2 linked regions of the Lytechinus pictus genome follow. The protein of the gene in region 1 purifies or fractionates together with the protein of each later gene. This does not show direct contact. Links are inferred from orthologs where the notes say so. Each region holds a gene or a part of one and is shown in the gene's direction. Other genes may lie near its edges.

Region 1 (17,274 bases):
TGTTTATGTGTATTAAGTTCGGATAAAACAGGGCAGTGAAGTTGCGCGACAGCCGAGGTAAGCCACTGTTTTTGTTCCTTTTAACTTGATTTTCCCCGTTTTTTGGCAATTGATGCCAAGAGGGAATATTAATATGCATTTCGGTTGCGTAAATTTTCAAAAGTTTGATTCATTAAAGACAAAAATTGAAGAGCCCCGACGGGGGGATTTTGCATTGTAAGTCCCCTAATGGCGGCTGTACGATAGCGAGCCGTCTGTGTATGAGGAGAAATAAAAATTTAAAAAAATGTTAAAAAACTCCTCGAAACAGACGGCTGCCAGCTGTCTACACTAGGAGTACCTTTAGAATCCACTCACACTATTGCGAGGTTAGTATATGCTATACGAACCTCGCACAACCAACGTGTTTTTGTAGTGGATTTTAGAGTTGTCGTTAACATCGCTTCATAACGTGAATGATGTTAGCTGAAACCTATTCCGCTACTCACCAGGGCTTTTTCTGGTAGAAAGCGTTCCATTATCAATTTTTAACATATTTTTTAATTTAAAAAGGACACAAAAAAGAGCAAAATCGCTTACCTCCGCCTGGAAAGTGGCTTCGCACGTCTCTTCCATGGAAATAAAAGGAAGGTCGTTGATGGCGCTAATACAGTTCGCAACCTTAATTCAGCTTGGTGGTATTTTTAAAACTAGATTCATGATTCATTGTATGCGCAATTCCAATAATTGTTTGATAAAATAGAGACCCCAATAAATGCAATAACTTTAAAAACATACTTTTTTATTATTTTTGCTGACGATAATACTTTTTGGAAAATATTCAAAACAATGACAAATTAAACAAAAAATATAGAAAATTCTATGTACCTTGAACAAAGCCCCGCAAGTGCTACCGTTCGTTTGTCAATTAACGTTCCACCAAAGTCTTTACAGTAAAAAGATTGAACACTTTGCCGACTTCGCGTAACGCTTTGCATCGATTTACGTGTAAGATAATTTCTGTGTCTATTCTTTCAATTGTAGTGTCTTTGATATGAAGATAAATCGCGCGCCCTCTTTCGCTCATTAGACGAAAAATTTGAGAGCTAGAAAGGTAGCTCTTGTATTTTGTGAACGAGAAGAAAAATCAACGCTTAAATGACGCATTTTGAGGGATATTCATCAAATTATGAGGAATTGACTTCACATCGTTTCGTAAGTTTCGTAGGAGGACTTCATTCTGTAAGTCCTCGTATTAATTTTTCGTAAATTAACGTTATTTGTTGAATGCGCCGTGCCTTCAATTATTCTTTAGTCGGCGGCTGAGATGTAGCCGTGGGTGATTAGAATCCAATGTCATGTTATAATCGATTATGAGACCAATTTACCTCCTAATCGCTGCTGCCGGTGTGCGATAGCCAGAGGCTTGGTGATAGCAGTTTTGTCGCCCTCTACGTTCGTGAGCTAATGAAGAGGCCCCGGCGTCAAGCAGGAGATCGATCAGGAAATGGATAAAGGATGGAAGGGGGAGGGGGATGGTCCCGTAGGGGGGTACACGACTTGTCCAATATGATTGATGTAGTAGGAGGGGTGAAGTAATGTCAGGTGATATGATAATCAGAGGAGTTTTAAAGGAAAGATATATGAAGGAATCAAAGAGGGGGCGCGTGATCGAGGATATGTGCATTGGTATATAATTATGTTGATAATGTTTATATGTTATTTAAGGAATGATAGTCGTTGATATGTATACATGGATACATGTATACAAAGATACTTGGATACTATTATATTACATACATGTTTGGATATGGATACTTGGAAACATGGATACGGGGATACTCGGATACTATTGGATACGTGGATACTTAGATACATGGATACGCGGATACGTGGATACTTGGATACTTGGATACTATTGGAAACTTGGATACTTGGATACATGGATACGCGGATACTATTGGATACTTGGATACGTGGATACTTAGATACCTTGGATTATTGGATACATGGATACTTGGATGCGTGGATACGCGGATACGTGGATACATGGATACTTGGATACTATTGGATACTTGGATACTTGGATACTTGGATACATGGATACGCGGATACGTGGATACATGGATACGCGGATACTTGGATACTATTGGATACTTGGATACGCGGATACATGGATACGTGGATACTTGGATACTATTGGATACGTGGATACTTAGATACCTTGGATACATGGATACTTGGATGCGTGGATACGCGGATACGTGGATACATGGATACTATTGGATACTTGGATACGCGGATACATGGATACGCGGATACGTGGATACTTGGATACTATTGGATACTTGGATACGTGGATACTTGGATACCTTGGATACATGGATACTTGGATGCGTGGAAACGGGGATCTTAGATACTATTGGATACTTGGATACATGGATACTGATGCGCGGCTACGGGCTTATGCCTACAGGAAAACTTGGATACATAGATACTTGGATAAGAACATCAAGGAGTTTTTGATACTCTGGAACATGGAAAACACATGAAAAAGTGCATGATACTAACTGTACTTTTAGAACGAAGCATCACACACCCTAATTACCTTATTTTCAGTTATTATCATTGACATCATTTTTAATCTGTATTTTTCTTGAGAGAAAGAGATAGAAAAGGCTACCGGTACTTTAATCAGTAGATAGTTAAAGTTGGCTGCTCTCTTTATAATTGTAACGAGACATATATCACTTCCCTAAGCCCATATGATTACAATTTGACCAATTAATCTTAATCCCTTTTAGGATTGATTTTATTTAATTAAGTTGATTTCAGTCAACAAAATCCAAATAAACTATTTGGATTATTATAGATTTTTCAGTCAAAAGAAGGCTAGTATAATAACATGTACAAATATGCAGCTTAAAGGTCAAGTCTACCCAGAAAATCATTGATTTGAATCATTAGAGAAATAAGAAACAAGCCAATTTTATCAAGAAATGGATGTGTAATAATAAAGTTATGACATTTTGAAGTTTTTTGCTTATATTTCGCAAAACAATTACAATCATGTACAACTCAGTGATATGCAATAAGACAAGAGAAACAGAGAACAAACAAAATAGTTAAGTAAGGGGATAATAAGAACGATATACCACACCGAGATGTTTTGGTTATATTAAAATGACCAATCAATTTCAAAACATGTCGCATAGAGACATATTTTACATGGTTACAATTCGACAAATTAATTTCACTCCCTCCTGTTTGTGATTGCAACGCGACACATCATAGGGCCTATATCACAATCCTTTTTTAAACAAATTAATTTCATTTTCATGTCTTGTTGCAATTATCTCATTATTTATAAAGCGCTAAAAAACCAATTGTACTTACATGTATGTAAACGCTTACAGATTCGGTCATCGGATTTAAGCAATCATTTCCGCAGACAACGTATGCAAATCCTCCACTCCCTGAGAGTATCTCAGGCAGTCGCATATGAGGCGCACACAGTGCTGGACAATGTATAATGAGTAATGACATGAAGCATAAATTGGATTTGATTTTAATTAGTGGGTTGTTATGTGAATGTCTCGTTCTGATTATAAATACGAATAAGTATTCTCTAATATGACTCGTTCTATTCTTAATTTTCAACTAAAGACTGAAGTTATAATATTACAAAAATTGACATGATAATTGAATATTTTGGCCAGTTTTTGGAAATACAAATTAGAATTTGTATTAAAAAGGTCTTAATTTTTGCTTGTTCGCTTCGCACCCTCGTAGCTTTTACGATCGCTTCATATTATTTCATCATAATAAACGCTGCACATAAAAGCAACGGTTTTAAGCTATCATATTGAAAATAAAATGTGGAAGACGTTTAATCTGAAAGTGAGAATTGATTGTAAAGAACATTTATCTAAAAAGATTAATAGTGACATAAATGCATTTAAAAAAAAATTTTATTGCGTTTTTCTTTTACGTTTTTTCTTCCTTCTTTTTTTCTCTCGTTATTTCTTTCTTTATTTATTTATTTCCTTACTGACTTAATACATTACTTCATTTAATTTCTTAAATTGTCATAGACTTACACTAACAGATAAAGAATACATGGAGAAAAAGAAAGAGTATAAAAACAGAGAGAAACACAGACAGAGAGAGAGCGAGAGAATGAAAGGGGAAAAATGAGACAAAAAAAAACCAGTGAGAATGTATAACTAAGTGGCCAAACTTCTTTCACAAAGTTTGATGCGACTGCTTGTAACCATGAAGTGTGCAACATATAAAAATTAAAATAAATATTTGCAAATGAACTTAATTGTAGAGGCCTTCTCAATTACGATTGTTTCATATTATTTCATTATAATATACGCTGCACATAAAAGCAATGGTTTCAAGCTATCACATTGAAAATAAATCTTGAAAGGGGTTTAAAATGAAAAGTAAGAATTGATTGTAAGAACATTTATAAAAAAAGATTTAACAGTGACAAACTGTATCTTTTATGTTATTTTACTACGATTTCCTTTCACGTTTTTTTCCTTTCTTTCTTTTTGTTTTGTTTCTTTCTTTCGTTATTTCTTTCTTTCTTACTTTCTTTCTTTTTTCTTTCTTTCTTTCTATCTTTTTTCTGTCTTTCTTTCTTTCTTTATTTTTTTCATTCTTTTCTTATTTCTTTCTTTTCTCTTTTTATTTCTTCCTTTTTTTATCTATCTTCTTTCATTCCCTTTCTTAGGACCTCTCTTTATTTCCTCCTTTTCTCTGTCTCTTTCTGTATCTCTTCCCTAAAAATTTCAAGCTTTTCCTCTGTCTATGTCACTATTCTGTCTCCTAAGTTCATAAAGAAGAAATACAAAAAAAAAGCAATTGCAAGGTTTAGAGTGATATATCAACCAATAATGTATACGAGTTTTGAATTAAAAATTATGTACCGGTATTCTAAGTATCATGCACGTATTCTGGGGGGGGGGGGGGATTTTGTGGCCCTTGCCCCCGGGTAGGCAAAAAGGGGACGCCAAAAGGGGAAGGAGAGAGAGGAAAGAAAAGATTAGTAAAAAGGAGGAAACAAGAAGAGAAAGAGAAAGAGAAAAAAAAAGGGGGGAAAAGAGAGAAAAAAAGGGAATAGGAAAAAGAAAAAAAGGAGAAGAGGAAAAGAGAAAAAGAAAGGAAAAAGGGGAAATAAAAGAAAGAGACGGGGCGCCAAATTGATGTTCGACCTGGGGACGGGGGCACCATAATGTCATGAAAGAAAGGCACCAAATTGACCATAAACAAGAGGGCGCCAAATTGACAGGTCTGTAATAAGGGAGCTCCAGACTGACCTTAAACTTGGAGGGGGCGCCAAATTGATGTTTGACCAAGGGGGCGTCAAATTGTCCTATAAGGAGGGGGTATCAAAGTGACCTTAAACATGGGGGCACCAGGTTTATCTTCTACCCAGGGGGACCCAAATTGACCTTAAACTCTTAGGGGGCGCCAAATAGATGTTTGACATAAAGGGGGCGCCAAATTGTCCTGGAAGGAGGGGCACCTAATTGGCCTGTTACGGGGGGCGCCAAACTGGCGCCAAATTGATGTTCGAACTAGGAGGCGCAAACCAGACCTTAAACTTAAGGGGCGTCAAAGTAACTTAAACTTAGGGGGTGGGGCACCGAGTTAATAATTGACTGGGGGCGGCAAATTGTTGTGTAAGGAGGGGGCGCCAAACACCTTAAACGCAAGAGGTCACCAAGTTGATGTTCATCCTAGGGAGTGCGACAAATTCACCTTAAACTTAAAGGGGCCACCAAACTGACGATAAATATGGGGGTACCAAATTTTCCAGAAAGGAGGGGCACCAAATTCACCTGTAACGGGAGGCGCCAAACTGACCTTAAACTTTGGGGGGAAGGCAAATTGTCCTTTAAGGAGTGGGGGACAAAATGACCTTAAACATGGCGGCGCCAATCTCAGGATTCACAGGAGAGGGGGACAATATGACATTAACTTGGGTAGGGGGCTCAAAATTTTTGGTTGCTATTTTTTTCCTTTTTCCTCTCATTTCCAAATACATTCTTTGTTTGTTCTTATACTTAATGTCACCTTCTCATTTCTTTTGTTCCCTCTTCATTTATATTTCTTTCACCCTAGTAAACGCATATAAAGAATGAAACAGATATAGAGAGAAAAAGAGACAAAAGACAATAACAAAGAAATGAAAATTTTAATATTTGTCTTTTCTACCTCTCTCTCTCGCGCTTTAATTACTCATTTTCGTTTTAAAGTTTTTATTTACCTTAAACTGTTTGTCATTCCGTTTTCCCTTCCATTGTACATGTACCTCACTCTTTTACTTTCCTTCTATACAATTATATTTAGTTGTCTAATTCAATGATCACTTTCTACGTTTTTCTTTTCTTTCTTTGCTCACACATTCTCTGTCCCTCTCTCTCTCTTTTCTTTTTCTTTCATCATTTATACCTAATTATCCCTTCTTCTTCTACTCCTCTGTTTTTTCAATCTCTTGACATCCTATCTCTTAAATATATTCAAAACATAACAAATAAACAAAATATAAATATCTTTCATAAACAAAATACATTAAACAATTTATTGCGATAATTCTTATACACTACATTTGCAAACAATTAAAGACATAATATACATTATGATTCTACAATACATGACTGTAACATGAATCATTGTAAAAAAAAATGATAACAAGATCTTTATAAAGTACTTACAAAATATTTATAACGAATCTTCTAACTTTATTCTACATATACGTCTAACACTAAAATATAAAACATATCTATCTAATACAAATGAAAACATAAATAACGCAAATAAAAAAAGAAATATCTATGAAAATATATAGATGTAGTATCAATTTAAACTTGAACAAAAAAATATATACTTAAGAAACAAACTAACTGTAAAATCGCAAACAGATGCAAAAAGACGTCTAACACTAAAATATAAAACATATCTATCAAATACAAATGAAGACATACATAACATAATCAAAATATCAATAGAAATATATAGATATACGTATCAATTTGCACTAAAAAAGAATATATTTAAAAAAAAAGTACTGTAAAATGGCATACAGATGCAAAATGTACATGTATGACATCAATCAAAAAATAAAAAGTACTATATAACAAAAAGAATGGAAATAAATTCTAACATGACAAAAGAAATCTCCACATACAGGAAATACATGTAAATGGATGTCAAAATATCTATAAAATGTATACATTTACGTATCAATTAACACTTACAAAAATATATATCTAATGTAGAAAAAAAGTACTATAAAATGGCATACAGATGCAAAGTGTACATAATAACATCAAACAAAAATAAAAAGTACTACATAACAAAATATAATGAAACTAAATTCTACCATGACAAAAGAAATCTTCACATACAGGAAATATACAATTAAAGTCCCAATAGTCCATCATACTCCTCCTCTACAAACTTGCCAACGAGTTAAATTTTTTCATCTTCTCCATGTCCTCCTCCAACTTTCTTATACGTCCATCTTGATACGACATGTACGAAACAAGCGATCCAACAACTTCTCTCAGCCGGGACGGCGACGAACTCAGTTCCTGAATAAGAGGTAGCACTAGAGTGTTCAACTTGACTTCATTCCCATTTTCGTCATTTGCCTCCGAAGTTCATGCATCGTCTTTCTCCGAAGAAATGTCCTCGTACAGATCGTCTGTACTCATCTTTTCTCCAACATTGTTGTTCTTGTCCATCATGTACATGGGGATGTCTTCTGTAGCTCCCGGATCCGGAGTATATGTATTATCACCATTCATCTCCTTTGGCCTGTCTATTCCATTGGTTACAGGTGAAGGAATGTCCTCTCCTAGTAATTGCATAATGAAGTCATCATAATCTTCTTCAAAACTAAGTTCTGCTGCCAGTCCGGCCATTGTTCCTACAAAGTACACTTTAAGTTCCAAAAGCTAACGAAATTGAGGGTGAAAAACTATATAGGCCTAATCAATAAAACTGACCAAGTCAAGAGATGTCCACGAGCTTTGTAACGTTTATCAACTAATGACGCTAATTAAGACCACAAGCTTTTTAAACTCTTAAAACATAACAGTCCAGTACATAAAGACACGTGTGCATTGTATTCTACCGAAAGCAAGAATGAGTCTCACGCCGGTCTCACGTTCATGCCGGTCATGAACTTCAATAGATTACTTAATCACTATTCACTATATAGTACCTAAATCTTAATCCCTCCTTTAAAAAATTTGGGGTATTAATCTTACATGGTAGCCCTATAGTCTCAAAGGCATTACAGGTGGTTCTTTATCAATGAACTGAAGGAATTCTGAAGTGACATTTTAGTTTGATTAACATATATTAAATCAAATTACATGTGTTGTGCAAGCATGTCATATTTCAAAATTTCCAATTGTTGAAAATAAGCGTATCTTTAAATGTCATAACTTTCTTATTTTATATAAATCACTTAAAAATACATCAATATCGAACAAGTCACTCTATAGCTTTACTTTATTTTGGTGAAACAATTATACGTGGTTCTTCATATGCAAAACGCAAGCTGATGATGTCACATCCCCACATTCCTTTTTCTTATGTTATTTCATGAAATCTTAAATGTTTTTTGTTTCGTACATGTGTAAATGATGTGTCTCCATTATAATGAAATACGTTGCAGCAATAAATAACTAATGCACTTAATCACTTGTCAATCCAATAGGTTTGGTTCTTGGAATGAAATTTTTTAACTTAAACTTAATTTCATATAATAAAATACAAAAGAACAAGTGGGGATGTGACATCATCAGCCCACCTAATGAATAATCATGAAGACATGCCCAGAACTGTTTAACCGGAATAATGCAAATATTTAAAATTCAATAACTTCTTTATTTGTAATCTAATTTTGATCAAATTTTCAGCCTATTGCTCTGTGAATTTTACTCTATTTATTTAGATATAAATATCTTCGGCCTGGAGCATCCCTTTAAGCACTATTTAGCTCATGGGCGGAAGTCCCAGGGGGGACGTGGCCCCCCTACCCAAAATAGTAGGGTGGACACAATATCAAATGTCCCCCTACTATTTTCGGTCTTTTATGACAGAAAGAAAGAAATTGAAATAAAACATGTATTTTGTATTTTAGATGAGAATTAAGACCTTACTTTATTGGGTGATGGGTGATAACCTTTTTTTTTTTTTTTTTGCTTATCAGGGTCTTTTGTGGTGTTGTGGTGGTTACATGTTCGATTTTTTTATCCTTGGGTAATACCACATGTGTGCCTATGAGGATGAATGGGGTCAAAGGTCATCTATAGGTCAAAAGGCCAAGTTTTTGTTTAACCTGCTCTCATTTCTTTTTTTCTGCATCAATTATGTCCACACTTGGTTTGTGTGATCCTTGGGTAATACCACATGTGGTAAACTTGACAATGTGGAAATTTGTAAATTCTGTTCTGAAGATTCAATTTATTATCTGAACAAAATGAAAAGTAGGATCAGTCGTTGTAGAACATGAAAGGAGGCTAAAAGCCAGCTCAACTCTCCAAATTGTAAATAATCTTTATTCATTGTGCTGGAAATTTCATTTTGGTGGCAGGATGCAATTTAAAAAGCCTGTCTTTAGTTTTGGTAAATCCCCCAAACTGTGCACTCTTCCAATCCATTACAGTCCGACCTCTCTTATCCATTCTCCCCTTATCCGGATCTTTCTTTTATCCGGACGCATGCTTGCTGATATTTGTTTTCAATCTAGTACGTGGGGAAATGAGATTTCAATCTAAAATCAAAATTCCTACGCAAACTCACTTTGCTGTACATGTATACATTTCCCAATAGAGTCTACCTACAACCGCACTACTTTTTATGAAAATATCTTACCCAAATCACTGAAAGAACGTAGACAGGATAATTTTCCAGTAAATCAGGGCACAGAACAACCACTTTATCACGTTCTCTTTTTTTCAGGAAAAAAAAACACATGTCGTACTCCGTGATTTTTCTGTTGTTTGGTTTGTTTTTCATGAATAAATTTGCACATTTTATTCATAATAAATTTTAAAAATTAGTTTTGGAATGTCTTTTTATACTGGCTTGTAGTTTATGTGGTAAAGAATGTGTGTGTCAAATTTCGACATAATCGCATGAACAGCGGCCGAGATCACCCCCCAGTCCTCAATACATCTCAGATAGCCAAGTTTATTTTTTGTTCTGTTCATTGCAGGAATTTGATAAGATTCCACTTTTCATGAAAGAAGCTCCAGAGAATATTGAAGATTTTCCCGAGCTTCAAGCTTTCCAGCAAATCAAGTATGCCTCCGAGGAGAGTACAAAGGAAGGTGAGAAACTTTGATTATCACTGGTAACTGTTATAAGCTACTGAAATCCTTGCATCTGATTGGCTGAGAGCAAGCTTGTTCATGAAAACCACTGACAAAACTCTTCATGAAATGCTCCCCTTGTGTCCTGCTTCTCTTTTTCCTTTTATACTATTAGCTATGTAGAAGAAGTGTTGATGCTGCACAAAAATTATCTGTGATTGCATTCTAAGAAAAAAAAATCATCTTTTTTTTTTTAGCTGAACAGCTAAAATGCTGCATATTATTACAGCATACATTGGACCCTATTTCAGGGGCTCTTTTGTTTAGTTTTCCAGGCCTTAGGGGGCAAATTTATGAAGTTCTGAGTTGGTTAAAAGCAGTGAAAAATAGCTGAAACAAAGCAGCATTTGTGGTCGATAAATTGTAATACTTTTCATAATCAACAATATTTTGGTCATTTTGTGTTGATATATCAGCATCATCATAATACCATAATCAAATATTCAATTTTTTGTCTTCAAAATTGCACAATTTTGATACTATCAAAATATCACCCAGTACTATTCCACAATCTTTTCACTCTTCTAACTTATCTCTAGATAATGCGTTGACTCACAAGAATGACGGTAATCAGTGGTTTAAGAAGAAGATGTACAAACCAGCCGTTACTGCCTACACCGAAGGTCTCGATCAGAAATGTGCTGATAAAGAAATCAACGCTGTCCTCTACACAAACCGTGCTGCAGCTCATTATCATCTTGGTAGATATTTTGCTTTATTATACATACATGTAAGGTTCAGTTCTGGTCGCAGGATCTTCTGTTCCTCTATGTCCAGCTCCTGGTGATAAACAGAGACGTCTGAAGAATTGGCGCAGTCTGGGGGAGGAACCTTATAATCAAATTTTAATTCTATATTATGCCACCAAAAATCAGTCCTCTTTTCAACTTGTATTTCCACATGTCATATAACACAGCAACAATAATTTATCAATACATAACAGTAGTTGAAATACCACTGAATGAAATTAACAAAAAGCAGATGAATCACAAAAATGAATATTCAAATTGTAGACATTTGTTCATTTATGGGATTATTTTTCTTATGGATAATAATAAACAAAAAAAAGGGAAGTCAAGTGATAGTGATTTGGGTGACCATCTACTTAAGGACAAGAGCTTGAAATAGATGAAGGCCTCAAAAGTAAAGGGGAGTTGAGAGAAAACAAAGTATAGTGCAATAAAAGAGGCTTACCTCTCATTGCAAACAGTAATAGAGAGACAAAAATGATAAGTAAACAAAGAAGTGAAAAAGGAAGAGAAGTTAAGTGAATACAGAGTATGTAGATAAAGTGTAAAACACAAGATAATTTAGTACTAAATTATTAGACTTCACAATTTCCTTCAAAACCTAATAACTTATTCATCATATGTGATTTGAACACAAGTGCTGGGTAATCAGAGTTCAACTGAGAAGTGAAAATCCTCCAAACATTAACACAAATACTACAGAACAAAAAAATCTTATAAAAAAATTATATAACTCTAATTAAAACTTGATCATTTTTGGAAGGCTGGGTATATAGTTAAGTTACTGAAAAGATGATTATTGCTAGATAATTACAAGACAAATTAATCTATCAAATATATTTCTGGTAGTAGGTATGGTAAATAATATGTCTGTTTTAAGTCACGCATATCAAATACATTCACCAAAATACTGCATAAGTGAGAGTGTAAAGAAGTACCATGCAGAAATCATAAAAATAAACATCTTGTCCCGTATTCCTATATGTTTAAATTTAAAATCTGGCGTAAACTTTTGGTTTAACTATGGATAACCAATTGTGACATAGATCTCTATTAAACAGTACAGATCCAAAGTATCAGCTCTTTTGACCCATGAATCATTCATAACTGTCGGAATTAATAACTAAAGTAATTTTCTCCACATTAAAGCATGAAGATAGAACACAGAAAACTTAAGAAACATACAATGTTAACAAATTTTCAAGTTTATATAGTACAGTGTTAGACCATGGACTGTTAAAGCTGTAGTTCAGTTTTATACTTTTCCTTTATGCAAATAATTTTGATGGGTATGTACTTAAATGTGACTTTTTTCCACAGGTAATCACAGGTCTTCATTAAATGATGCCAAAGAGGCATTGAATCTTAAACCTGACCATTTAAAGGCCCTCAACAGGACCATTGACTGCTGTATGCAACTCAAAGAATACGGAGAAGCCATCCAATGGTGCGACAAGGCTCTTCAAATATCCTTTTCAACATTTTGTTAAATGGGTACCCTGTAGGAAGGAATTCCTTGAATGCTCAAGCGTCCGATCAGGATAGCCGTGCTAAAGCCGAGATAATAGTATGCAGCGCTTAGAGACAAATGTCATTTGTATTAAGCACTATATAAATGTCGCATATTATTATTATTAAAATAGTATACCCAGCTTTAGTAGCTTGTGTTATTGAAGATATGACTGTTTTAGTTGTCAGTGAATCATTGAAGTAATCATAGGTATGAATATTATATTTCTGATGACACTGTATCATGACTCGGTACTTGGTATGATTATTGTATCATAAAGTGTAAAGAATCTCTCTTTTTCATCTTATTAATATCAAGGTATAACATTTATTTTTCTGATTATACTGTATTCATAACCCATCAGTCATTGATGACAAAGTATTGAGAATAATTATGTTTTTCATACAAAGTGACAAAAATATTTTTTTTTCAGATAATCATATAAAAAATAACTTTTTTTCCCATGAAACATCCTGCAATTTGAATCACTTTTTTTCTAATGTGATTGATTAAGTGGGATGTCCAATAGGGGACATATTTTTTTCTGGTATGTGCATCTGTACATCAGAATTTAATGAACCACAAAATGGTCCAGAGTGATATGTCAGGTGATCCTTAACCAAATGAATACATCTATTCCAGTGATAAGAAAATTCAGGATCTTAGGATACAAGCATCAAAACTCAAGGTAATAGAGAATTACAACTACTTCAACTTTGACAGGATGGCAACTACCATAGAGTACCAAAGTGTGACGTCAGTTGCTGGTTCTAAACAGTCGTAGCTGATGGTCGTCTGACAAATATGTTGCAAGCAATCAAATTCAGATAGCAGCCATTTTCGCCTATGAGAAACACATGCTTTCATTCGGCGGGTTTATTTGTTAAGAAAAACCATGGCAACTGACGTCATCGCTTCGGTACTCTATAGTGATAGGCATTGGCGGCGGAAGCCAAAAATTGAAGGGGGGTCCATCTGAAATTTTGGGATGGACACAGGTAAAAAATTTGACAAGCAAAAAAAAAAAGACTTGTTAAGTTACAACCAGCCTTCTCTAAGAATGAAGAATAATTTCTTTTTCTATGATGCACATTTAACTCATTGGCTACCATTTAATTGTAGAATGACACATACTTTCCAAAGACTCCTGCCAAAGTTATTTAGGGCATAGGGCTCAAGTGTTGATTCAATGTCATTTTGTAATTGATTTGCTGATTTCCCCTTTCATTTTTGGTATCATGACAAAATGAGTTTCTCTTCATTTATTCTTTTAACAGAAATCAGCAGACAAAGAGAAGAGAAAGAAACAGCTAGAGGAGAAGAAGCAGAGGGCTGCGGAAGAGAAACTCATCGCAGCTTTGAAAGTAAGATCATAACTGCCTTTCATTTTCATAAAATGTCCTATTTCTCAGATTCCCTTATTTTTTTCTCCTGCACTCGATTAAAAACTATTCATTAAAAAAATGATCACCGAATGGTTGGCAAGTTATTATGGAACTTGGCAGAATATATGTCACTGATTCTTAAATTTTGTGCATAAGTTTCTTAATAGACATTGGTACAGATGGCAGTTTAGTGAATTTACTCCCCTTGATTGTAGAGTGATAGCATACTGTACAGTACTTTCTGACCAAGGACCTAAAACTGAATGAATGAATGAATTTATTTATTATCCAATGCAATGATAATAACAATTTACAAGTTATGAATACGTAGAAAAGCAAGGATAATAGGAACCAGAAAATAGCATGAATGCTAGTCAAGCCTGGCCCCTTCTACTTTAGGCAGATAGAAACATGTTTCTTAACTTGTTAGTTAAGAATGAACAATCGTGAGTCTACTAAATATACTCTATATTATATAAACAATGCCTACATAACAATTTTAAGAAACACTAACCGTATATACATATGAAAGGTATATAGATGATAACAAAAATACCGTATAGATGATAACAAAAATTCATTTTTCCAACAGATGTTCAACAACAGCTTTACAAATACTTGACCTTGATGGTTTCTTTCTGATTTCGATTGGTAGCTCATTCCAAGAAGTTGTGCCTACATAAGATAAACACTCCTTTCCCAAGCTTGTCCTAACCTTTGGTACATACAGATTCTCATCTTCCTTTTGCCTTGTATTATGTAGAAGCAATGAATCTTGAAGCAATGAAGAGTTATGATTGATCTAATCAATCTCAACTACAATGTATATGGAAATCCATCCATACCATAATTTTTTCTACAGGAAATGAGCACAATCTCCCTAGTAAACAAAGAGAATCACACTGAATATTAAAGAGAATGATGAATGTCTGAATAAACATATCTAGAAAATATTTTGAACAAATTTGCATTTTAGATTTAGACGTTGTTTGCCGTCCATAGTTGTGGTTGATCGGATCAATCACAACACTTGGTAAGACGAGGCTTTGATTTCACTAGAAATAGAATTGGGTATTCATGTTTGGTGCAGTTGATTATAATTCACTTATTTTCCCGTAGGAACTGACATTTTAAACATTATCCATCTTTCTTTCAAAGGTCCGGAATCTTCGCTTTGTGAGTGACCCCGTCGAGGGGCAAGACGGGGAGCCTGAAGAACAAGCCAAGGCGTTTGTAACCTCGCTGGTATCCAACGAACCCTCCGGGCGTCATATGGTCAGCCTGGACGATGAGGGCGTGCTTCAATGGCCCGTTAGGTTTCTGTATCCAGAGCATGGCCACAGCGACCTCATCTCAGCATTCAATGAAGATACAAGGTTCGAGTTTTGAACTTTCGTAGTAACAAATGTCAAAATTTTGGTGTTACTTTTCTTTCTTCATATTTTCTCTTTCCTTCTCCCCCCTGATTCTTATCTGGTATATGTTTTTTCTTTCCTTTTTTTCCATTATGTTTTTTTTTGCTGATTAGTCATCTTTGTTCCTATCAGTCTATTTACATATCTTTTCATACCTAAACGGGAAGTTCACCCTGACGAACGGTTTGTTGTAAAAAATACCAGAAAAAAAAATTGGTAAAAATATGAGGATAATCCATCAAAGATTAAGAAGATAATTAGAATTTTAAGTTTTTGATTTGTAACGTCATGAGAGTAGCTGCCCCATATGTTATGTAATATAAAATGCATAAATCTCAATTTTTTAATGGTTCATGATGACTGCATGTAAATATTTGTTACTCTCAGAAGTGGATGTGATATGATTTGTCTGTTGATATACTGAAGTTACAATTAAACCATTTTTATTTTTAATGTAAAAATTACATTTCATTGATTTTTACGGCACAATATATGTGGAAGTTGCTTGCATATCATGTCACAAATCAAAACATTGAAATTCCAAATTTTAAAAATCTATGATGGATTTTCCCCAAACCTTCACCAATATTTTGCATTATTTTTTCCGACTATTTTTACAATAGATTTTTCTTCAAGGTTGACTTCCCCGTTAATGCACACTCATGCACACATTGTACAGGACCGAGATGGAAACAAAAAAATAGTATCTTCTGGTATTATTATCCTATATATACATTTGAATGAATAAATGAAAAGAATTTTAAACATGGCGTTTGTTGCTTATATTGCTGTACATAATTTTTACTGTTATTTCTTCTTCTTCTCTTTTTCTATCTATCTCCCTCTCTCTCTCTGTCTGTCCCTCTCTTTGTTTTCTGTCTAACTTTCATTTCTTTCCATTACAGTATTTCTCTTCACTCTTCATCTATTTTTTTTCACCTCTTCCTCTTTCTATTTTTTTTTCGTATCACTTGTCTTCCCCTCCACATCCTCTCTATCTGCATGTACCCTTGGCTGGTTACTTGTTATACAGCAATAACAAATAAATTTAGGATTTTTTCTGTTTTTCTTTTCTTCTCTTGTTAGGTTTATAGACCACCTAGAGGTGATGTTTTCATCGAAGGAAGCCCCTCCTGAATGGGACCAAGAAAGAAAATACCAGGTCACTAATTTAAAGGTTAGTCATTCTTGGTCTCGGTGAAAGGTTTGTGAAGTTAGTATACTAGGGCCCCCATTGCGTAAAGGCCCGGGGGGGGGGGGGGCACTCGACCCAATATGTGGTAGGTATGTGCCACTGCCACTCAAACCGGCTCCACAACATTTGCTCCAGTGACAATTGCCCCGCTCTAAGTTTAAAATACTAAACAAATGACCAACTTCAACCCTGAGTTTAAGACTATACCCTACCCTTAACCTATCATAAAACCCTATTGCAACCCTAACCCTACATCTTAGACGAAATTAAGCCCAGAGCAATTGTCGCAGGAGCTAATGTTGTGTCAGGCTAACACCAATATGTGGTAGGTAGGTCAAAATTAGGGGGCCTTGGAACAGCTCATCATGAAAGTGGGGATCCCTGGAACTTCTTAAATGTTCCAAAAAGACAGTCCCTGGAAATAAATTTAAAGTTGATATTATGACCTGGATCTAATAAACATGAAAAGTTACAGTTTCCAGGAACTAAATTTTGATGAACACCACAAGATTTTGTTTGACTTGGGTACCAAAGTGCCCATACCATTCAAACATGTGCCAAAACTCTACACACTGGCAGCTTTACAGACAGAGCTAGAGCATTAGTGCTCCACGGAGCTCAGCTGATGGACGGTG
Region 2 (16,851 bases), on another chromosome or scaffold:
ACATATCTTCAATTTCTGAGGCATCTAATTCTAAACCTGAGAGCTCATTTCTATGACACTATAGTTTATACAAGCCTTGTTATCTGTCATGGTGGCCAATGCATTTATGCAGTGCAGTATGAATGTACAGTACATTGTACATATGTATACTGTATAGCCCCAATGGATAATTGACATTTTTTTATTTAATAATATATATTTCACAAATATCCGTAAAACCCAAAGTGGAGGAATAAAAGCAATATAGCTATATGAAGCTGCTTGCTATTGTTGACCTCGTACCATCTAATATCCCAGAACCCCAGGATGATAAAACCTACTTTTTGGCTGAAAAAAGGCTACAAAAATGGGAAAATTTAGGTATAATTACCTTTTAACTAGAAATAATGGTTTAAAAGTACTAATCATAGGAAAAACAAATTGCCTGCCCCCCAAAACATATGAATAGACACCAAAACCAGAGAAATTGACCACCAAATAAAAATGTTGTGGCCAAAACTGTGATTTTGGGGGGTTTTGGCGGCCATTTTGGATTTTGGCCCGGCACACTTTTTTCTTGGACCCGAGACAAAAAATATTGTCATTTCATGTTGAGATACATTACAAGGAATAAAAAAAAACTGTTGTCATATTGAAATTCCAAAAAAAGTATTTTTTACCCATGTATAGCCCACTCCTATTTGTATATACTGAACTGCAAAATAACATCCAATTATTGAGACAAAACTACATTTTCAATAGTTAATTCTTCTTGGGTTTTATTTATTATCAGTCTCATAATCTTAAATATACTCTCTAGTGGAAATTACCTTACTTAACTGCACTTCATGATGGAGAATAAAGCATATTAAAATTTGTCAATTATTTTTTGTATGAGGTCAATATTTACAGATAAACCCGTATAATTAAGGACAAATCTTATTCTGCCAAAATGATATGCACACTCTGAATGTACATTGTACAGTATTAATACAAAACATGCATTTCTGTAAATGACTAAAGGAACAGCGTATCTGGCAAGTTGAATAATAATGAATAACAGGTGTTCTGAATTACAACTATATCCATGACCCTATCTTATACTAAATCACATTTTCAATAATATAAAATCCAATCTTTTTATGATATTCTTCTTGTTAATGAAAATAAGAATAACAATAACTGGATTTATAAAGCGCTGCGATAACCACGGCCTAAGCTGTGCTGCCCATATACATGTAGGTGCTTAACTATTCAAGAAAATTTCTTCTTACCGGGTACCCATTCACCTCACCTGGGTTAAGTGTAGCACAACGTGGGTAAATTTCTTGCTGAAGGAAAACAAGCCATGGCTGGGATCAAACCCACGTCCCTCAGATAGAAAGACAAGAGTCATAACCACCAGACCACAATGCTTCCACTAACAAGCATTTGAATGCAAAGTTTTAAAATTTGTCAAGATTTCAAGATAATTATTGAAAGTTCGCTCCAATTATATCAAAATCTGAAATATTTGCACAAGAACGTCACTTGTCATGCGTGAAGTCATGCATAACTCAGGGTACAAACAGCTTATAAAAACAGCCCCAGGTTTATGCACTTAAAACAGATATTAATGATTTATTTATAAAAATCTATAATGGTACAAAATACAGTTTGGCACGCATTCATAATATCAATATATCTAACATTAAATGAACAGTTTTTCCTGTATTCTATTTCATAAAGAGTTGTTATAATACCTAATGTACAATTTCTGTAACAAGTTTACTATAAACCAATCTAATAGAATGATTTCAGTAGCTTTAAACTGTTGTTGCAAATTTGTTATTGTAACAAGTTTTATGAAGCGGGCCTGGGACTATGCACAATATTTAAAAATATGTAAAACATTGGTGGTCATTTCATTTGTCAGTCCATCAAATGGGCCCCACTATTATAAATTCCCGCAGGCTAACCTTTTAAAATAAAGTATCTCTAGTTCACATTACTTTTATGAAAAAAAAATATAATGCTTTGAATGTTTACAAATATACCACTTATTAGCAATCCATTTAAACAGAACCATATACAAATAAATCAACTCTACATTATACATATCATGGTAATTCAACATAAATGTTCTCCAGTAATATTTCCATCACTACTAAATTCTATTTTGAAGTAAACATATGCATTATTAGACACATACAGTACACGGAAATTATAAAGGTAAGTTTGCAGAGTAGGTACGGACACTCTAGTTGCATTAATATTATCATCAATTTCTGAATACAATGGAAACAATGCTTTTCTAGTTCACATTCTAACAAACACACACAGAAATGACACAATATTAAAAATTTTATTCCTATCAAGGGTAAACAGTTAATTATCTTGTACATTTCATTTATTAACATCACTATCAATATATGCATTTTTTCCTCTCAGAAAAAAAAGAAAAAAAAGGTTTCTTGATTCAACATTTCTGATCATTATTTTAATATGCAATAAATCAGGGAAACACATTTGGTATTTCGGAAACTTACTGAATATTCTTTGAAACACATTCACAACTGTATTCCTACTAGACCAATAGGAAAAATAGCATTTAAGTCAGCATAGTCTTGATGAAAAAATTGTTTATTATATTAAAATATAAAAAATAAGTAAATGCTACAACAGTACGAAATTGCATGAAGTGCTTGTACACATAAGATACAAGAAAAATGAAAAATAAGTAGGAAACAAATAACATCTAAATGAGCATTCTCTTTGCAAGTAAAATTAAATCTAATCTCCATTGACAGTTTTGGCTTTCAATATATTTTGCTTTACTCCATGACTCATGACTCTCAAAAATCAACTCAAGTTTAAATCCAAACTAAGCAAGAATTTCAGACTACATTCATAGAAAGCTAGATTTCTGATTTCATCTCCCTTTTTGCAATTATGTTGTACCAAAATTATCATTCATTTAATACCAATACTCTTTCTCCTCATATTTTTGTAAATCATTTCCCCCCACTTTTTACATTACAGGATTAAATGATCTACCTAGGGAGAATGAGTTGGTGAAAATTAGGAACAGTCATTCCATAATCGACAAGGGTTTATCTCATGAATACAGCCGCAGCATCTCCTTTACAAAGCATTAATCCGGATTGCGAGGAATGGAAGCCGTTTTTAAAGGAGAATGAAACTCTTGGAGCAAGTTAGCTTTTGTGAAAGCAGAAAAATCAAAGAATAAGATCAACAAAAGTCTGAGTGAAATAGGACTAGCAATAGAAGAGTTATGAGCATTTGAATGTCGAGATCACTAATGTTATGGAGATCCTCCCATTGGCAATGCGACCAAGATCTATGATGTCACAGATGAACAACTCTCCCCTTTTGGACACTGAAAATATACCCCAAAACATATCTTTTTGCTCATTCTAATCATATGACAAACGATTCATCAATGATATAATGTTGTGAAACCTCTGTACTTGTCCTCTCATAAAGAGAACACCTCACCTTGTGATAGACTCTATAAAAGTGAGAATATAAGTGAAATAAGTACTAAAGTAATGAGGGAGTTGTACGTGTGTGACATCACAGATCTTGGTCGCATTGCCAATGGGAGGATCTACATGGCATTAGTGATCTCGACATTCAAATGCTCATAACTTTCTTATTATTCATTCAATCTTCCTCAAACTTTCAACAATATGTTTCTTTGATTTTTCTCTTTGATATGGATTCAGCTGGTTTCAAGGGTTTCATTCTCCTTTAATGCAGAGTGATGTTTCAAATTTAGGAGCAGTTCAAATAAAGCTTATCAACACATTGGCAATTCAATGAATATCAAATTATAACTATTTCTGCTTTGAAAAGAAGCACATGTACAATGTAACAAATTGCAAAATATTCGTAACTGATTTTTCTCTATTTTGTTCAAATCAACTCAATGACTTGGCTTTAAAGGTAGTTCAATTCAGAACCAGCAGAAGTCAGCAACACAAGGCTTCATGAATGATCGTAAGACTGATTGTCATGACTTAAGTACAATCAATTACTAACCTGTGTGTTAGGGGCCCAAGAAATATGTTTTTTCCCCCCAAACAAGGACAAAATATTGAATGTATGTTGAATTTCATTGTTTCATATTCATCACAAGAAAAAACACGGTGGCTTTGCATTTACAGTACAGTACCTCACATTGTTAGATCCAACCAAACTGGGATAGAGCTTTAAAAACTAGATATCTTCCTGAAAGACTGGTTGGCCTGGCAAGGATGATAGTTATGCAACAGACACCTTATTAGCTGGCATGAAACCTACATCACCTAACGTTCTAAGTGAGACACGCCCACTGGGACGCAGTGAAAGCCATGTTATACTACCATGATACAAACTCATACGAAGCCAAGCCTCGGGCGGAAACTGCATCGCTCTGCAATGTGTGAAAGAAAAGGGGAAAAATAGCTCAATTACTTTGTTAATCAATCGTCTATAGTTTGCTTTAACAAAATACTATGGAAACAGTCATTAAATTAACATAATGAAGAGCCTGAATAATCAAGTACAATGCATTTCATACTGAAATGTTAACATGATTTATTTTGTTCAAGCCATCCACGATATTTAAAGATTAATTTATCTTGCAAGATGATCTCAAAACAGAGTGAACTTATCTAAAATCTAATTCCTGAAATATTGTTAACAGGCATGCAAGTAATCAAATTATATTCAATTGAAAGGTTATTGTCTTACCATATAGTATTAAAAAGGATTACATTTGTAATTGCAATTAAGACTCTCACACATCTTTATGTATTTAAGCTTTTCATTGGGTTAACACAATTTATTCAAAGGTAAAATTCAAGACTACAAAAACATCAAAATAATGGAATTCATTAAACACTTATATCATGTAAATATAGGGCAACATAGAAGCATACTCGTTGCGCTCTGTACTATCAGAAAGCGACCAAGTTCTTTAACAATTATAAACTTTAAAAAAGTAAGACAAGTTTATTTGAAGTTCGAAGGAATGCCATGAATACTAATATAAAATTCTGCTTTACTGCAAGCCTTGTGGTAAAATCCAAATCAGCTTAAAATCATAGCTGATGGCAAGATTTCTATGCCGTCACTTTGATTAGGAATTGATTTTGCATGTACATTCATACAGGGAGGTTTATAATAAGACTGGAATATTGACTAAAGATAAATGAAAGTAGTTGCAGTAAACACTGATTTCACGAGAAAGTCTGTAAAACCAGGCTTAATTGTCACTATATCATCGAGGATCTCGATCTGGGACAGTTACATAAACTGAACTTTGTGAAATCTTGAAATCTCCGCTGAAAAATGTCCACACTGAAGGTCACCAACACAGATAAGCGCACATGGGACAGCGTATTATTACTGCTTAGAATGTCGGCCCGACGCTTGGCCCGAATCCCGTGCTTATTTGCTAATTTCTCAGCAATTACACAATTTCTTCAAGAATCATTTGGCACATGTTTTTTATTTATACAGACACTTTGGTGGTCATTTAATTGGATTCTGTACAAGCTCATTTTGAGATCATTACCACAACTGGCATTTATCTTTAATCATGCATTCCACTATTCGAAACTTTGATCTTTAAGAATTTTTAAGTTGGAGTGTAAATAAACATAATTATAACAATTTTGTTAAAACGTAATAACAAACAGGTGGGTCATTCATAAAGCTGTTTGTAAGTTAAGAGTAATCGACTTTAAGAATAACTGGTAAACCTTTCTTATGCGCTAAATACTGTAATCACCAATGGACATTCAATGGTGAGTATCACTTACCACAAGAAAGAATCACCAGTATTCTTAACTTACAAACAGCTTTATGAAACGGGTCCCCAGGTCGTTGAGTGTGTGTTGGGCTTGACATGTCAAAAATAGGATCATAACAGACCAGTTACCTGCATACAAAGTATCTAATGACGTTGGCATGGCATACAATGACCTCAAAGCTATCCTTCGTCTGTTCAGGGTCAGCTCGGTGGAAGTATTTCCTGAATGCAGCCTCGATCCGAGCTCCATCCTCATAGAACTGCTAGAGAATGCCAAGACAAGGTTGTCAGCAAGAGGCAAGGGAATGTTAAAGGAAACAGATAAGACAGATAGAAAGTGTTAGCAACAAAAAGAACACATTGCAGTTTACAGAAGTACAGACAATCTCATTTATTCCTTTCTCCCCAAATTTCAACTCTCTCTCCCACTTCCTTGCTCATTCTATCCCTCCCCGTCCCTATCTCCCTCTCTTTCTTGATTTATCTCCTTCTCTCTCCCTCTCTCTCTCTCTCACACACACACACACACACACACTCTCTCTCTCTAGAGCTCTCTAAATCTATAAGACTAAGGCGCAAACAGGAAAGCCAAAACATGAACAACAAACCAGATACAGAAATATAACATGTTTTAGCACAGAAATTAGAGTAATGAACAACAGTCAAGTTTTCTGTGATGAAGATCTCTACTAGGAAAAAACATAATCAATAGGAAAATAATGCCTCTAGCAACTAACTTCCATTAAAAAGAACAGGCATCCAGTTATCAAAGGGCAAGTCCACCCCCTCCCAAAAAAAAAATGAAATAAGGAGAGAAAATCAAAACAAGCATGACAGTGGAAATTTCATCGAAATCAAATGTAAAATACAAAAGTTATGATATCCTAAAATTCTGTTTATTTTTCACAAAACAATTATATGCACAACACAATGATATGCAATGAAAGAGTTAATGATGCCATTTTTTATTTCATATTGTATTGGAATTATACAATTTTTCACTTTTTTTTAAGATTTGACAATAAAGAGACAATAGGTTACAACAATACTGATTCCACATGTAGATGTTGAAATATAACTTTGCTTCTCATGATCATGAGGAGAAAACTAAAGTATTTCATGTTTCATATCATAAATCACAAAAGATAGGCCTATAGGCCTACATGTAGTAAGCGGGTGATGCCATCAGTTCATGTTATTTTTCATGCAAGTATATGTATATAGCCGTCCATTTAAGTCTGCATGAGTCACTTAAAGCTAGATTGTGCAAAGCAATTACCTCACAAAATCATTGCCCGAGTCATACAAATTTCTTTCATCCTAAGCGATTCAACTTTAATGATAGGCAAACTTACCTGTATTTCATTAATTCAAAATACCTAATGGTATATTTCATTCATTACAATAAAACACTTTTTTCTAAAGAGGTTCTCATTCCTATCTTCATTCTATTCAGTATAGCATCTGAAACATCAAATGCTCATTGATGTTATCTAACGGGAAAAAAAACTAAAACTAATAATTACATAAAATACATATAAAAGACAAAATGATTTATCAACACAATAATGATCTCACCTTGACTTCCGGTTTCCAATGACCCACTGGTGGTTCAGGGGGTATTGGTGCACCCTCTCTCAGGAGCTCACATGATTCACGAGGTACATCTGGTAGTTGTTGACAGACAATGTTTGCCGTCTCTATAGCTCTGGCCATGGTAGAGTTGATGATGGTGGTATAGGGATGGTTCAGAGCCTTCAGTCGTTTTCCTGTCATTTCGGCTTGCTCCCGTCCTAAAATATTTCATAACGTTTAAATATTTATTGCAAAAAGTTGATATACCATTACTAAAATCCTAATCCTGCAAATTTAGAACGCACTTGTCATTGTGCAAACTTTCAAAGGTTTAGACTTTCAGTGTAACAATTATTGAAATTCAAGAAATAAGGATCATTGACACTTAATCTTTATCAATCTGTTACATTAATCTTTGGTTGAATGAATGTACAGTAATAAATAATAATAGATGGGGTTTGTAATGTGCCAAATCCACTCTGCCTTAGTGTATTATTATTCTTAATCATAAAAAATAAACAAACAAATTAATAATAAAGTAAATAAATAAAAAATAAAGGTACTTGAGGCAGTGCAGGATCAGAGTCTTGCTTTTATATTTTTCAAATGAAATAAAAAAATGTGACGCCTTGTTGTCATATTCCACTTTGTACTTCTAACTCGAGCAGAATAATTCTAGGAAGCAGGAAGTACCTACCCAGTGCAGTGAGTATCCTGACATCATCAGTGATCCCATCAGTGTTGTACTGTCCGTGTCTGATGAGGATCAGATGCCTGGTTGCTGTTGGTTTTGCTCCAGAGAGGCTGGCTGTTGGATCCTTAGAGTCAACCTCAGTTCTGGATGGATCTATCAAGCTTTGTGGGTCTCTCCTGACAATAAGGATATTCTTGAAATTAATCATTGTAGTTTTTGCTTGGAAAAACAATAAGGTATCAGGAAAAGTTAGCAAAGCCCTTTTCTACATTTACAGTGAATGAAATGACAATATTGAAATTGCCTATTCAATGATTCAGAAACATCATAGGGTCTAGCAATACAGAATTGGTTTATAAAGTTAAGTAAAGGGCCTGCCTTGGAATTAACTTGTGCACAAAAAATATTTATTTTTTAGGCATGTTCCTGGCAAAGTCAGAAATTTGGTGAAGATCATAATAGTCCCAGTCAACTGAACAACAGAGCCCAGTCAATTGATGCAGATGAAAAGCCCCGAGAGCCTGCACTTGCAATCACCCTACAAATAAAAATCGCCATACTCAGAATCCAGATAAAAAGCATGCATGCAAAGTCTAGCTTAATAAGTGAATATCAGTCCTGGCCATCCCCGCATAATCAGGGGCTGGGACAAGGCCAACTGACAATTCAAAGAAATCATCAGGTATAATGGTCATTTACAATTGAACTTCCAAGCTTTAAATATCAAAGTTAAACTTCATATAATGTAATTTAAGTTTGTCTTTGTGAAGGATTTTCAGAACACATTTTTCTTGCAGAGCAGAATGCCTCTAGCCCAACACATTTGAAGTCTGCAACCACCCTGTCTGCATTTAGTCTATGCAACATACAAAACACTCTTATTTTTTGTGTGTTCACTATCGATTCTATGATTATGAACTCCATTTGTTTGTGATCCGCTTTTCAATATACATGTAATCTTGAGACTTGAGAAATATTGCACAAGGGAGCTTGAAAACTACAATTTTGAGCATATTTTGGAAGGGCCTTCCATTAGTGGAAAGTACAAAATAGGGCACAAACCTTTCCTTTTCATTAGAAAACAAGATCAATAAAATCATAGTTTCTCTTTTTTTCTAGATATTATTATTAACAGTAAAATTTTGGTTGATAGACACAAAGCCCTTCTAACCCTTCTTCTCTTCCTAGTTTGTTTGGTTTGGCTGGTAACCAGTCAGAAATGACTATTTTTGCCACTGCTTTATTTCTCAGTTTCTTTCAATAACTCCTCCTCAATTTCTCAAACTTTATAATTAACTAAGTTTAGAATAAACGTTTTGCTAGTTAGTATTAGTAATAGTATCACTCAAGTCTCAGAGAAATGATTTTTCAAATTTAACTTAATTTGAAATTTATTCATGAATATTCTACCTCTGGATTCTAGAGTAAGGAGAAGGAACTTGTAAATGAACTTTATATTCGGTTAAGCTCCCCACAAAAATTCAGAATAGAACACAAAACTAACTTGTCCCAGTTGGAATCCCATCTGACACTTGGGTTGTGATTGGTAGTCCACGCCGCCAGAGCTGTGGGGAGGAATCCATCTCGCTCTCGCTGGGAATATTTCATTGCAGCTGCTCCAAACGCAACCCCACTTGAAACTCCAATTAAGAGCTTCGCGGCTCTAAAACCATGATTAAACGATGGCATTATTTCAATCCGGTGCAGAAAATGATTTCAGAATCTGCTCAATCAAACAATTTACCAATAAAATCAAATTAAATGGAAGATTTTCCGTCTCTGTCTAGGTTGTCACGCTACCGGAAGTGGAATGCTTTTTAATGAGTAGACTATTTCCCACCAGTCGTTTTTAGTGACATAAGCCTACATATCTACGTGCTGAAAAAGGTCAACAAAATAAAACTCCTGCGAGCGCGAGAGAAGCCTATTTAGCTATAGGCGAGTTCTGCTCTGCTGCGCTGCTTTACATGGAATAACTAGTTTCAGCTTCTAATGAATTTCTCTCTCATATTTATGATATTTCCCCTTCATATTGATGATGGCAGATGCCTCAGTTATTGAAGAACTGATTCAGTTCCTATCAGTGACAACTAGACCCGATGTCAGGGACACGGCACTCGCGCATGTGACTGGTACGACTGCAAGCAAAGAGGGGCGACTCACCATCGGGACACAGCTCTTGCCCGTAGCCGAAACTGTGGGGGAGCTTATCTGTTCGGATGCTGTGCACGAATCCCACCAAGAGCAGGCTTATCATATTGTGGTCAATTTGTCATCGGAAGATAGCTTTGCAGAAAAACTTGCCCTTGATCTGTCGTACATATCCCATTTGCTGCAGACGATCATCAATCCTTCGAGTCCTTTTGCCAAGCAAGCTTGCATGATTCTTAGCAACTTAACTCGAAACAGAGCTGGAGCAGAACGGGTCTTAAAAATTCTTCAACATGATGATGATGAAAGTTCTGCTGTTGGAATGAACAAACTTGTGGAAGCGTTTTGTAAAGAAGGTTACAATAAGAAGAACTCGAGTCTTGACTATGTTGGACCTTTATTAGCCAACCTAACTCAGCTTACCGAAGCAAGAGAATATATCTTAAACAGAGAGCGATGCATTGTACAGAGGTTACTTCCATTTACTCAGTATAAATTATCAATGGCCAGGAGAAGAGGAGTAGCAACAGCATTGAGGAACTGCTGTTTTGAAACTGGTAATGATTGGAATTAAGGGGGAAAAAAATCTTCAGAAAAGTTTATTTATTACTTGTCCTTGTCAGCAGTCATGTTATTCGCATTTAGTCACGTCTTTGTTCATCTATGAAGTGGAAGTTTGAAATGACCTCTATCGTGATTCTAAATGGCAAAATTTAGGTTTTAGGCTCATATAAGTTTTCCATGTATGCATATTATTTTAGGTGATGACACTTGTCACTTAACGCTTTCTCTTAGAACGTTATAGAAGTACAATGATCTGTTATTTTCTATTTTTTGTATCGATAATGAAGTGAAAAATCAAGTATTACATTCTTGGATAAATTCACAAATTCTTCTTTCTGAGAGAGAATTTTATAGACATGGATGCACAAATAGATACTTATTCATATGTTTTTGTATAATTGTAAATATATAAATATTGTGTACATACATTTATAATAATTTTTTAATCCTTATCCTTACATTTGCCAGCATTTCCATTTGATATATGAGCCAAGTATATTTTCTGAATTAATCTGTTTTCAAACCATTTTTTATCCCTTCAACTATTACTTAGCATCTCATGAATGGTTGTTAGGAGATGATGTGGATATCTTGCCCCATCTCTTGCTACCATTAGCTGGTCCTGAAGAGCTGAGTGAGGAGGATATGGAAGGATTACCAGATGATCTTCAGTATCTTGAGGAGACAAAGAAGAGGGAGGATGATCCTGATATTCGTGCTATGCTCTTGGAAGCAATTTATCAAGTTAGTATTTTTCATTTTTCTTTTTTTGAACTTCTAGATTTCTTCTTTTTTGTGCTAAAAATATTCAGATAGTGTTGAAATTGAAAGAAAACTGTAACCCCTTGCTATAAAAATTGTTAAGAATGTATGTAGACTATTACTGAAAAAATGACCCCTTTTCCTTAAAATAAGTCGATAATTCTAATGATGGAAAAAAGATTAGGCCCGCCAATAGTACCTATCTAATGATGGATGGATACAGCTTCCATAGTCATTAAATGCATGAAATATATGATTTTATATATAGAATATCATAGTAATTGATAATTTGTTTATTATTCTTCCTGATGAAACTAGATAGTCCAGTGATGACTCTTGAATGTCTTCAATAGAGTATACAATTTCAGTGAGAAATACAAGTTCATATTTGATATTTTCAATTTTGAGTTACACATTATATGTAACGGGTTACTTCAGAAATTAGTTGTTCAAATAAATAATTATAATAATAGATGCTTATATAGCGCATAATATTCGACAGAATCTCTGTGCGCTTTACAAAAGAGGTAAGTAAGTCTAATACAGGTATACTTGAAATAAAATACATAAATACTAAATGAAAGATTAACAAAACATTGTAACATACCTTTCCTAAACAAAATAATCTAACGTGAGAACAAGTCCGTTTTTAAAGATTTGAGAAAGGTGGAAGTACATGTGATGGCCCTCAGATTATTAGGCAGTTTATTCCGCAGTACAGTATATGATTTAAGTCTATGGATATTTTTCATCTCCTTTCATGTAGAATGAAAATACATCAAGTCTTGGTTAACACAAAATTCATTATTAAAAGTTTGTCGTCATTTCTTTCAGCTCTGTGCCTCAAAGGAGGGTCGGCGGATCGTGAAGGAAAAAAGGACATATGTGATCCTGAGGGAGTATCATCAGTGGGAGAAGGATGAGAAAGTTGAGAGTCTGTGTCATCAGGTGATTGATGTCCTCATCATGGATGAACCGCTACCAGGAATGGAGAATCTTAGGGATGTGGAGATACCGGAGGAGATCAAAGTAAAACTAGATCAAAAGAAGGAGGTCGAGGACCAGCAGAAAGATTAACATTTGATTTTTTAACTTAGGGTGGCATTAGTTTTTAATTATTTATAGTCTGTGTCATATGTTCAGATGTGTCTTTTGATAAAGGATTAAAGATCTAAGCAAATGAGGATTATGAAAGGAATGAATTTGTTAATAAGATGCCAGGTGGGTGTTTCATAAAGCTGTTCGTAAGTTAAGAGCGACTTTAAGAACGACTGGTGATCCTTTCTTGTGGTAAATGGTATATTGAATTGATGATGGTTTAGCGTGTAAGAAGGGTTCACCAGTTGTTCTTAAAGTTGCTCTTAACTTACGAACAGCTTTATGAAATGGCCCCCAGGGATTATAATTTGATGAAGGGGAAGTTCACCAGAACAAAAAGCTTTTTTAATGAATGAAAAAAAAAAATAAAGAGAAACATATTAACAAAGGTTTCAAGAGAATCCATCATACTTAAATAAAGTTTTTAGATTTTAGATTTTGTGAGGTCACTTGAAGGCAGGTGCCCCATATTCATGTATACATTCCATATATTTACATTTTTTAATGATTGATAACAGAATATTCATCTCATTGAAGCACATGTGATATAATGTATGATGATATTGAATGCACAAGTATATAATTTCTTTTTTAAGGATTTTATGGAATCAATATCATAGCAAAGAACTGCTAATGAAATTATAATTCAAAAGCTCATAACTTTCCTCAGTGGATTTTCACTAAATCATCATTAATGTAATTCTGTTTTCTAAATTACTGCTATAAACAACTTGATTTCAGCATGTTCACTGTATGGATGCTACACATAGAATGAATACATTCTCAAATTCTTATGTTTATGGGATACTGAATGTTCAGATCATGATCTAAGATCGAAGATTACCTTAAGTTGATGTAATTTTTCCCTCTTGAATAATGCAATGTTTCTCAGTTGCATGGCCAAGTCCTCTCTTGTTTGTACTCTCTTCTTTCCTTTCTACCCAATTTTTAATCAAATTTCCCTCCCTTTTTTTTTCTTCATGACTTAAAAAATCATGGGGGGGGGGGGGGGGTTCTACCCACTGTCCCCTCCTGGTAGCAACGTCCTTGGTACACTCCTTGTAGCAAAGTTGTTTTTCTGAAATCAGTAGCTGACATGTCTGAATTCTGTTCATTTCTAGATATCTTCATATTTTAACATATCTGTCTCACAACCTTTATTCAGAATAATGTATGTTATTCAAAATTATGTTATTGTATCAATGTGATTGTTCAGATTACAAATCCTATGTTTACACTTATGAATTGTTCAAATCCATTTGAGCTAGATCAAATAATCTTCTAGCAATAATTGTATGCTGTAATCTCTCTTTTATTTAAAAGAAATACAAATTATGTAATAAAATTACGGAAATGCTGTCATATGATTATTGTTTCCCATGTTATAATAATACTTCTTATATACCATTGCCTATTAGCTCAATTTGAGGAATATCTTCTACCTATATCTATTAAATTTATTTGGAAATGAAATGGTAAAATTGGTATGACCAGAAAATAGAGAAGAAAATAAAGCAGAAAGTGGCAATTTTTTTTTTTTTTAAATTAAAAGAAAGATATAGCTTGTATGAATGTTTGGATTGTTGTCAAGGAACATGGTTGAATGTTTAGAGCCCCTAACTTGACTTGGCGTTTTTTCATTGACTCGTTACCTCAACTTGGGCCGATAACCTCACTTGTTCCCAATTTTAGTCGGGGGAACGAGAAAGTAACTTGTGGGAACGTGTTACGAAAAAACGTCATGACACCTTAATAATTATGTATGATTGTGTGTTTACAGGTGAAAAGAAAACAAATTAGAAGATGATAGAATGAAGAGAGAGGGAGAAGGGGTGACAGAGGGAGAGGGGGTGAGAGACAGAATGAGAGGGTACATATGTCATTATTTCCTTCATCTGGAGCAAAGCTCCTAATAGGTTTGCGCCCTCATAAGACCCATATTTGGCATGACCCTCATCCGACCGCTAAATTGGAGAAGTTAGTTCGCACATATAGGTCCATGGTTCGCAGAACTAATTAAAGAAATAAAGAAGAATGCATGCATGGTAACATTATATACACATCGATCGTAATAAACATGCAGCTATTATCCAGCCGATTTAAAGATGTGTTCCCTCAGCTCTCACACACTGTATTAAATTTGATCAGTTCTCGACTAACGCCCCTTGATTCACTCGTCCATTGACTCATTCATGTCATTCATTATTATGAATATATAAACTTATTCATTTGATTTATGTGTTTGCTTAAATTCGTAAATAAAAATGAGATTATTTAATTCATCTATTATTAGTTTTCCTCTATCCGTATTCATCGATTTATCTATACATCTAGTTAGTCTGCCTTTCTCCACAATTAAAACAAAATTAAACAACATGCCTAAATTTTACGTTTTTAGTTCGTGAATTTGCGGTGTTTCTTTAAGAGAGTTGATTAGCAACAATATACTATACTTTTCATATAGATTCGACAACCACACTCCTTTTGATAACATTGGTTTGTTGGATATACATGTAGCTTTTTTATTTATCTATAAAAGAAAGGTTTATCTATAACTTTATCCATCCAGTAATCCATACATCCATCCTCCTATCTATCCACCAATCCCTCTATCTATCCATCTATCTGTCTTTCTATCTACCTTTCTATCTATCTATCCATCCACGGAGTCCAACTATCGATCTTTCTATCTGTCTATCTAACTAGCTATGTTTATAAGGTTTAAACAATAATAAAAAAGTTCAAGCAACTTGTATTTAGAGTGAGGGCTTAATAGCATGCTTAATAGTTTTTTTTTAACATTCTATCTATCTTTCTTTCTATCTATTTATCTATCTTTCTATCTATCCATCCATCCATCTATCTATCTATCGATCTCTATATATCTTTCTATCTATCTATCCATCCATCCATCCATCTATCTATCTATCTAACTATCTATGTTTATAAGGTTGAAACAATAATAAAAAAAAGTTTAAGCAACTTATATTTAGAGTGAGGGCTTAACAGCATGCTTATTAGTTTTTTTTACATTCTATCTATCTATATATCTTTCATTCTATCTATCTATCTGCCTGTCTATCTATCTATCTATCTATCCATCCATCCAACTATCTATCTATCGATCTATATATCTGTCTATCTATCTCTATCTATGTTTATAAGGTTTAAACAATTAAAAAAAAAGTTCAAGCAACTTGTATTTAGAGTTAGGGCTTAACAGCATGCTTATTAGTTTTTTTTACATTCTATTTATCTATCTATCTATCTATCCATCCACCCATCCATCTATCTATCCATCCATCCATCCATCTATCTATCTATCTATGTTTAAAAAGTTTAAACAATAATAAAAATAAGTTTAAGCAACTTGTATTTAGAGTGAGGGCTTAACAACATGCTTATTAGTTTTTTTTACATTCTATTCATTTATTTATCTAATGAGGAGAGTCTTTAACAGAAACTTGATTTCTTTTGATAATCCCCAGGCATTAGCTGGTGTTCTTTCATTTTTTTCACTTGTATATTGTATTATAGATATTGTATGATGATTATTTTCAATGTACTAAATTGATTATTGTTAATGTGTACCTGGAAATGAAAATGAATAAATAAATGACTAAATTTATCTATCTATCTATCTCTATCTAACTGAAGATATAGGACAATACTAAAAAGTCAAATAAGATATTGTCATTACCATTGTCGTCCCACACAGGTGATTAGTAGACCTATAATATAGAATGGAACGCATGCTGCAGCTTTGTAGCGCAGGTAAACAAAGCATAGTAAACCTCATCAATTATTCAGTAGCTCTAATCCATTGAGAGATTAGACGCGGTCTTGTATAAGAGTCTTGCAACATCCTCTGCGGAGAACGACTCGTGAAGGTGACAGCTAGACAGGTCGTGTCCACGAGAGAGATTCATGGGTGGGGCTATCCCCTGGGAAAGGTCCCACTGTATTTTTCACGACCGCAGAGGTACACGTCCACGGTTGGATGTAGTGAAAAAGAAGAGAGAAAATTAATGATTTTAACAGTGAAGACAGTACCTGCGAGAGTGAATCCTATATAATGTGACAAATAATGACAATAATAATGTTAAAATGATAATAATCTTTGGTGTCGAAATAAACAGTGCTCCCGCCTCACTATCTATGTATTGTTTGATGTTGTATATATTTAAACTTTGATAATGACTGCGAAATGATCATACGTTACACATTA

The links.
Region 2: the proteins of tetratricopeptide repeat protein 4-like (region 1) and protein HGH1 homolog purify together in Homo sapiens (co-immunoprecipitation; 4 studies listed by BioGRID and IntAct, counting the BioPlex papers as one, with this or other methods). This does not show direct contact. The link is inferred for Lytechinus pictus from reciprocal best matches to the Homo sapiens genes TTC4 and HGH1.

What each region holds. Positions count from the first base shown.
Region 1 is NC_087255.1:18,772,275-18,789,548, forward strand, and holds the start of tetratricopeptide repeat protein 4-like, read left to right. Parts: upstream 1-10,232; 5' UTR 10,233-10,252; coding exon 10,253-10,343; intron 10,344-10,924; coding exon 10,925-11,086; intron 11,087-12,454; coding exon 12,455-12,600; intron 12,601-13,275; coding exon 13,276-13,332; intron 13,333-13,921; coding exon 13,922-14,008; intron 14,009-15,187; coding exon 15,188-15,405; intron 15,406-16,530; coding exon 16,531-16,621; intron 16,622-17,274.
Region 2 is NC_087246.1:20,734,424-20,751,274, forward strand, and holds protein HGH1 homolog, read left to right. Parts: upstream 1-9,963; 5' UTR 9,964-10,083; coding exon 10,084-10,756; intron 10,757-11,316; coding exon 11,317-11,507; intron 11,508-12,359; coding exon 12,360-12,602; 3' UTR 12,603-14,159; downstream 14,160-16,851. Other genes in the region: serine/threonine-protein phosphatase PGAM5, mitochondrial-like, read right to left, coding at 4,246-4,396, 5,909-6,042, 7,358-7,572, 8,052-8,224, 9,553-9,737.